Xenopus tropicalis: one gene and its partner. The protein of the gene in region 1 interacts with the protein of each later gene in a pairwise test. Links are inferred from orthologs where the notes say so. Each region holds a gene or a part of one and is shown in the gene's direction. Other genes may lie near its edges.

Region 1 (4,290 bases):
CCTTGTATAATTAAAGGAGATAGAACATTAGGCACTATGCCTGTGAAGTTTATTATTCTTCCAGGTCATGCTATAACTTGTAGTAATAAGTCAAGTTAACTAGACTTGCTGTCTAGTCATCCAACTAGCAGAATGCCAGTTGGATGACTAGCAAAACGACTTTGAGAAAAACACAGCAAGATTACTGCAAGATAAAAATTAGGCACCCCCATTGATTATAATCGCTTACCTTAGACCAGGGGTCCCCAAACTTTTTAATCTGTGAGCCATATTCAAATGTAAAATAAATTTGGAGAGCAACACAAACATGCATTCTTGGGGTGCCTTACAGTTCATCATTCAGTTGATAACAGTAAATGTCATAATTAAAATATCGTAAGTAAGTTATTACAATACAGTCCAGTTCTCACAGGTCACACAAAACAGTCTTTCTTCATTGAAAGCTGTTAAAATTAGCAGTGTAAAAGTTTGTGGTTGGTTCTAATCTAAGAGAATGCAATTAGGAAGAAGAAAAACATTTCCAGTTATGTCTTGTCTGCCACCTAACTGGCCTCAAAGGTTCAGTTCTGCTTTTCATTTGCAGCTACATTTCTGAGTTTACCAGTAATCTTTTCATCTGAGCATTCATTTTTCTTTTCAGATTTTTCTGAGTTTGTATTTTCAACAAGGAATGCAAAGCTAGGGTGGCAGAAGGGCTCATATACTATATGTTGACACTTCTTTCTGGCTGTTTAAAGTAGATAGTTAATTTAGCAATATAGAGTCAAATAAATATAAGTTGTAGTAAAAATGCATTCTGCCTAATCTTTTAATTAAAAAAAGTTTTCAAATTCAAAAAGGCAAATTGTATTTTACACACCCCCTGGAATGAGTATCATTAAAGAGTGATAATGAGAACCTCCATCTTCTAATTTACGATAGATGTACTTGTAGACAGGGAGTTCAGAGAGTTAAATGACAGTGAGAATCTCATTATATACCTTCTTTTTCTCTTGTTGTTGTAAAAGACTGGGATCAAGTATAAAATCAGTTTTCTATAATGTTTAGAAATAAGTTGAAGGACATTCTAGATAATAGGATGTATGAAAAAATTATTTAATGTTTAGGTAAGGACTTTGAAAAATGTGTAACACTAACTTTCTGTTTATTTTTTATTAAAACATATACTTTTTGATTGTCTTCAAAAAAGAGATTTTGTACTCACCGGAAAATCCTTTTCTCATAGGCCCGAACTGTTAGAAGTTAGGGGTTTTGTCTTGAATCACCTCTGGAGGCAGGACAGAGAATTGAAACTTGGTACTCCTGGTCCCTCCCACTGTATATAAGGCTCGTCTCCACCCTCATTCCTCAGTTCTGTTGGTAAGCTCGGTCGGTGGAGACAGTACAGATAGAAGGAAGGCTAAGAGACATAAGGTAGAAAGATAGCGAGAAAGAGGTCCCGGTGCCCATACTAAATCAGCCTGGGTGGGACTTACTGCACTGACAGTTCGGGCCTACTAAAAAAGGATTTTCCGGTGAGTACAAAATCTGCTTTTCTCTAGCAGCCCTCCTGTCAGTGCAGACATTAGGGGATGTCCCAAAGCTGTCCCTCTAGTTGGGTGGGTAAAACTTCAGTTTTATTGGCACTATGCCAAAACAGCCTGTAGGACTTTCCGACCAAACGTGGCCGGCTGTGAGGCATAAACATTTAACTTGTAGAACTTGATGAAGGTGTTTGGTGAAACCCAAGTGGCTGCTCGGCAGATCTGGTCTGCGGTTGCCATGTTCTGCAGTGCCAGTGTAGAGTGGGCTTTCACTGAGTATGGTCTGGGCATGTTTCTGCGATCATAAGCCATATTAATAGTCTCAACTAGCCAACGAGCTATAGTTCTTTTAGATACGGCTTTTCCTCTGTATGCCGTTGCATATGATATCAGGAGACTATCAGACTGTCTGTAGTCAGCCGATCTCTTTAGGTAAATGCGGATAGCCTGGACAACATCCAGCTTATGGAGTAGTTTTTCCTTCTCGTTGGATGGGCTCGGGCAGAAGGAAGGCAGTATGATGTCTTGGTTCATGTGGCGTTCGGTCACCACCTTTGGTAAAAATATTGGTGTGGTTCTAAGGACCGCCTTGTCGTGGTTCCCTGCAGGACAGTGCCGCCATCTCGGATACCCGTTTTGCTGATGTGATCGTTATTAAGAAAGTGACTTTAAATGAGAGCCACTTAAGCTCACACATCGACAGGGGTTCAAAGGGTGATTGTTGGAGTGCGGCTAGGACTAATGGTAAGCTCCATGTTGCAAGGGGTTCCCTTAGCGGGGGGTCGTACTCTGGTTACCCCTCTGATGAACTGTTGGACCATAGGATCTTCGGCCCACTTGAAGTGTGTCAGCGCTGTAATCGCCTAAGCTTGTGTTTTTAGAGTGCGTAAGCCCAATCCCTTTTGGAAGCCGTCCGTTAGAAATTCCACCACCTCAACTGTGGAGATATCTCTCCAAGGCGTGGCCCTTTTCCTGCACCAGGTTAAGAAAGTCCTCCAGACCCTATGGTATACCCTAGTGGTAGATTGCTTGCGGGCTTGTAAGAAGATGTCTATGGCGATCTGTGAAAATCCCTGTTGACGCCACCAATCGGTTTCAAGAGCCACGCAGTTAGGCGAAGCATCCTCAGGTTGGGATGTTTTATTGGCCCTTGAGTTTACAGATCGGGTAGTAGAGGTAATCTCCAAGGTGTGGCAATCGATAATTTGACAACAACTGTATACCATACTCTGTTCGGCCAGTCTGGGGCTATCAGTATTGTGACTGTGTTGGATTGCTTCAGTCTCCTGATTACTCTGGGTAAGATGGCTAGTGGTGGAAACGCGTATACCATGCTGAAGTTCCATGGTACCACCAGCACATCCACCAGCGCTGCTCCTGGGTCCCTTGTTCTGGCGCAATAGAGTGGAAGCTTTGCATTGTGTTTTGATGCCAACATATCTATCTCAGGGGTCCCCCACCTGTGAGTTAGTTATTGGAATACATCCTTGTTGAGGGACCATTCTCCCTGGTCGATGGTTGTTCTGCTCAGGTAGTCCGCTTCCCAATTCAGTACCCCTGGTATGTATACTGCTGAGATGTTCGGTACCATCTGTTCCGCCCAGGTCACTATTCTGGAGGCCTCCTGCATGGCTAGTTTGCTGTGAGTGCCCCCTTGTTTGTTGATATATGCTACTGCAGTTGCATTGTCAGGCTGTACTCGGATTGACCGAGATTGTAGAATTGTTGACCAGTTCTCCAGTTCTAGGGCAATTGCTCGAAGCTCTAACACGTTGATGGGTAAGTGACTCTCCTCCTTGGACCATGTCCCCTGGAGTCTAAGGTTTTTGTGTACTGCCCCCCAGCCCCTGAGGCTGGCGTTTGTGGTCACTACCTCTCAGGTGGTGTTTGCCCAGCTCCTTCCCTGTCGAAGATTGTCATCTCTCACCCACCAGAGAAGGCTGTCCTTGGTCGTCTGCGAGATAGGTATCTCCTGCTGTAGATCTTGGTGGTTCCTGTTCCAATGCTGCAGGAAATTTCACTGTAGAGGTCTGAGGTGAAATCTGGTGAAGGGTATGGCCTCCAGGGTTGATACCATGAGGCCCAGAAGGCGTAGGCAGTCCTCTGCCAAGTTCCTTTTCCTGACCCAGAAGGCCTGAGTTGTCGTGACTAATGTGTTCGATCTTGTCTTGGGGTAGGATTATTACCCTCTGTGCCCTGGAGTCGAAAATGAGGCCCAGGAATAGGATCGTCTGACTTGGCGTGAGGGAAGTTTTTCGGTGATTGATCAGCCAGCCGTGTTGTGTTAGAACCTGGAGACACAAGTTTGTGTCCTCAGTCGCTTGTTGATAAGGAAGGTGTTCCTTCCTTCTTTGCTCTCCCGTGTGCTGGGGGGGGAGGGGTGACACTTCAGGGACAGCTCTGCGTGTCCAGTGTCCCCAACACTGCACAGTAATCCGCACTTTGTGGGCAGCTCTGCGTACCCTAGTGCTTTAGAGATCCTCCTGTGGATCTTCTGAGTCCCCCTTGTAGTAAGCTGGTCTAGTCCTGGAATTGAATCCAGTAAGACAGCCGTGCCTTGTGATATCCTCTTTTTGATCGACAATAATAAAAAATAAAGAAAAAAGGAAGGAAAAGAAAAGAAAATAAAAATATGTGAATATAGAATCAGTCCTTCACCTCCGAGGCAGGACAAAGAACTGAGGAATGAGGGTGGAGACAAGCCTTATATACAGTGGGAGGGACCAGGAGTACCAAGTTTCAATTCTCTGTCCTGCTCCAGAGGTGA
Region 2 (4,095 bases), about 110 Mb from region 1:
TGCACTGCCTCCTATTAAAACAAGTTACAATGACAACTGTTACAGCATTCAATAATTATATAAAAGCAATATTTTATTAATCACAGAAACATTGCTGCTAATTATGCAAACACTTCTGAGGCTGCTGCTGCAGAGGGGGGGGGCTCCTTTGCTTTCATGTATCTGTAACCTTATTATGAACTAAGGGGCGCTCTGGCCAAGTTAGATCTCATGCATGAACTAAGAAACTCAAACAACCACTGTCCAGTGAGTGAAGAAAGAACATGTAACTGATCTATTACAGCATCTTGCCATATAAAAGTAAATAAACCACAAATGACCCTTCTCTGGCTTCTGAATAACAGCATTCATCTCTATAACATTTTACTATTAGTGACACAGACAATAACAAATAGAAGCTTCCATGTTAATGCTGGCAGTAAACAAGCTGTTTCACCACAGATACAAATAATAATAGTAATTTCAATTCACAGTACAAGGAATGCAAGTCTTCTATCAGGCACATCACTCTCAAAGAAACACATTACTTATCCACAACCCCATAGCCAATATAAATATTCAATTGACAGGAACCTGTTACCACTGAAACGAAACCCCCAACACAACACGTTCTGAAGAAACTATAAGTATTGGCACCAGGGGATTAGAGATACTTGACGCACCGCGACATAATAACAACTACATTGTACGATCTTTAAATGCTACACGTTTTCTGTGTTTGATCCGCAGGAACTATAGTTCCCTTCTCGCCACTTCATTAACCTGCTCTAATGGCCCACATAATCTGCGTTTTGAAAATCACCACCAACACGCATACGGAATCAAACTAGCTGTATACCGCGTTAAAACCGAAACTAACACAATAAAATACGTAATTTACCCAACTCACCTCCATTTTCACGGCCTGAGACTCTTCTTCTTTTCAAGCACACTTCCCCGCCTCTACAAAGATGGCGAGACATCCGCTTCCGGTAAAAGCAGCGAAGCCATATTGGTACAGTAATGCTGCTACTCATTCCTCCTATAGTATAACAATAGGATGTGAGGCAGCCATAGAGACTATTCATTAGAATGCTACACGTATCGAATACAAAAGAGCGAACATCCGGCTTAGTAAAGAACGTCGCTACAAGCCGTACACCAGATAGAGAGTCTTTTCCGGAAGCAATAGAGATGAGACTGCGTGGCAAGAACGTCTCTCTGGGAGCTCTAGTTAGAGTAAGGCAGTTCAAAGGAAGCCTCCTCCCCGTAATCACCTGCCTTGGTGGCTCTGACGATTGCCATCATGTCGTATGCCTACCTCTTCAAGTATATCATTATTGGTGATACAGGTGCGTACGTATTTTAAATGATTTTATCTATCGGTTTACGAATATTGGGTGCTATTATTATGCTCTTGTAACCTTGATGCTTTTTAATTTTATTTTGTGTATTAAATATAAAATCATGCATATGCTAGCATAAAATGAGAATATTCCGAGTTTATGTACAATAATATATTATTTTTAAATAGCAGCTCTTGGTGTTCTGTTTTGCAGATGTTTTTCAAATTTGTATGCAATTACAGATTTGTGTATATGTATATATCTTTGTATTTATACAGGTAATGTTAGGAGCCACATCATTAAATATTATAGAGGCACATTGCAATTTGTGTATCACTTATAACAGTGATGGGTAGTTTTAAAGCTGAGTTGCCAGAGCCCCATATTTTCTCCATGAATAATCAGAAAGAGTGCACATATTTCATGTTAGTGATAATGCAATACAATGCATTTTATTACATTAAGAGCCGTATTTCCTACAGTTTAACTTTATAGAAACAGAGTAACACATGATAGGTTGGCTAAATAATAATTTAAAGGTGAACTCGAAAAAAAACTGTTTTTGTTTTGAATAAAGACAGAAAATGCAATGCAGCTTTTCAATAAACATAGAATACTTTTTTTGTATGGTTTTAAATAGTAGCTTATGAAAGCAGTATTATCCAACTCTTTCTGCCTTGCTGGCCTGATTGCAGAAGCCAGCTGATTAACACCCCTGGAGGGGAACTCACCTCTGCTACATGGTTGCAGGAATAAGAATCAGAGAACAGAAAAGGATAAACACATATTGCCTTCAGTAGTGATTTCACTGGTTTTGATGTTATTTGCAAATGTAATCTTTTAATCCATATAGGTTGAGGTAATGCTTGGAATTACAACTCCTTTCATTTTGTAAAAACAGTTTTGTGGATTTTCTCTTTAATCACTGTCTTTAGTTTTTATAAGTGGCAATGAAATTATTTTACGCTATGTGCATGTATAGTAGTATCTCCAGGTTCTCCTTAATCTGTGGTGTAGCAGACTAAGGCCTCCTTACTGTATAATAACCTAGTGCATGGTACTGCAGAAAAGTAAAAAAATGATGCTTTTAGCATATCTGATTTTTATATCTCTTTGCTATTCCCCCATATCTACCCTTATTACATATTTGCATGCAATCAAATAAGTACATAGATGAATGTGATAGCTGCAGTGATTTTCAAGTGTTTAGGAAATCTTCCACCCCTCCAAAAAATAAAAACAGTGCACAAAAGCCAAGGTAAATTTCAGACAAAGGGAGTGATGATGCTATTAAAAACCTGGTAAAGACTGAGGGAACCAGTGGCCTGAGATACAAGGAGAGATACAGATATTGTACCAGGGACTATAAGCCTCCATGATGGTTCTGTGAAATTAATTTTTTTTATAGGAAGAAAGTATGACATTTTAATTAAATAGGCTGTGCATAAGACAATAAAGGGGTTTGTAACGTGTGTTACTAAGGTGAAGTGCAATAAGCAGGGGCGTTAGTTTTGGTTGGTGGGCAAATGGGGTTGTTAGAAATGTTTTCCTAATCTAAAGTTGAGGAATATGGTTAGTAGGGAGAGAGTTAGGTGAAATACTAAACTGGAAAGTTTGATTTTCTGTGTGCTTATTAACCAGTCAGTTTTATAGTGGTGTATTGAACCTTCAGGCAGCTAGGTAAAAGCAGCAAGGCAAACAGGAACTCAATATCTGTGAGCTGGCCTCTCAGCTGGAGTAAATCCTTAGAAGGCCTCCTCAATGCAGCCATATTAGAAGTAACTGAAACAGCAGCTTCATGCAGCTATTAATTCTGAGAACAACCACAACTTCATGCCTGCCAGGTGATACACTGTAGCTGAAGACTAAAGAGGTTAATGTAATAGCAGGTACAATGTTTCCTGCAGGTATAGATGTTTGCTTTACAACAGCAGATGAGTGAATGCTACCTGCTAGCAGGTAATTAGAAGTGGAGAAAACTATAGTTCTAATCTATTACCACCCAAAGTAAAATAATAATAGTAATTTGTTTGCAGATATATTTATTTTGCTGAATGCCAGTTGGGTGGTAAATCCAAACTGGATACAGCTCAGTGTCACACTCTGTTAGGGCAGTGACCCACAGAGCTACTTTTAGCCAGCTATTTGGCGTGGCTACAATATAGGCAATACTGATAATTGTCTCTACGTGTGTTTTAGCAGAGAAAATTTTCAGTATTGTCTATGGCAGGGTATTTTCTGGTGATTTGTAGCTGTGACAAGTAGCTTTATGTCATAGCCTCTAAAATTACAGCCCCCAGAATAACATACCTTTCGCTCTGCATGCAGATTTATTTTGTTGCTCTATTACAAGCAGCTGAACTGTATCCCTTTACCGACTGCCTTGTCTTGCATAAAACTCTGCCCCCTTTCCCTTATTGAGCACTCCTTCTTTAGCAGATTATGCAGACCTATACTGGGCATGCTCACTGCGCCTGCTTCAGTTTAAATCAATAATGCATGCACAGTAGGCACCTCTTTGAGGTCATTTATTGTTTGATATGGAAGGAGGCATCATCTTTTCAGGGTATAGAACAATGTTTGCTTGCTAACTGTTTGTGTAATGTGTACATATATAAAATGTTATAATGCACGAAGTGCATTTCCTCTGGTTTCGACCCGTTGAGCACATATCGGTACAATACAATTTTGCTTTTTAATATAATCTGGTTCAGTGTTATAAATGTGTGCTGGTTATTATACAAGTGCTTACCAAACGAGTGAATGTGCA

What was found.
Region 2: the proteins of fam114a1 (region 1) and rab2b interact in binary tests that used the Homo sapiens proteins (3 or more experiments, as listed by UniProt). The two-hybrid records come from large-scale screens. The link is inferred for Xenopus tropicalis from reciprocal best matches to the Homo sapiens genes FAM114A1 and RAB2B.

What each region holds. Positions count from the first base shown.
Region 1 is NC_030677.2:35,807,878-35,812,167, forward strand, and holds the start of fam114a1 (protein NOXP20), read left to right. Parts: upstream 1-1,414; 5' UTR 1,415-1,514; intron 1,515-4,290. UniProt on the Homo sapiens protein: May play a role in neuronal cell development.
Region 2 is NC_030677.2:141,992,706-141,996,800, forward strand, and holds the start of rab2b (ras-related protein Rab-2B), read left to right. Parts: upstream 1-1,212; 5' UTR 1,213-1,285; coding exon 1,286-1,331; intron 1,332-4,095. Other genes in the region: tox4 (TOX high mobility group box family member 4), read right to left, coding at 663-670. UniProt on the Homo sapiens protein: The small GTPases Rab are key regulators of intracellular membrane trafficking, from the formation of transport vesicles to their fusion with membranes. Rabs cycle between active GTP-bound and inactive GDP-bound states.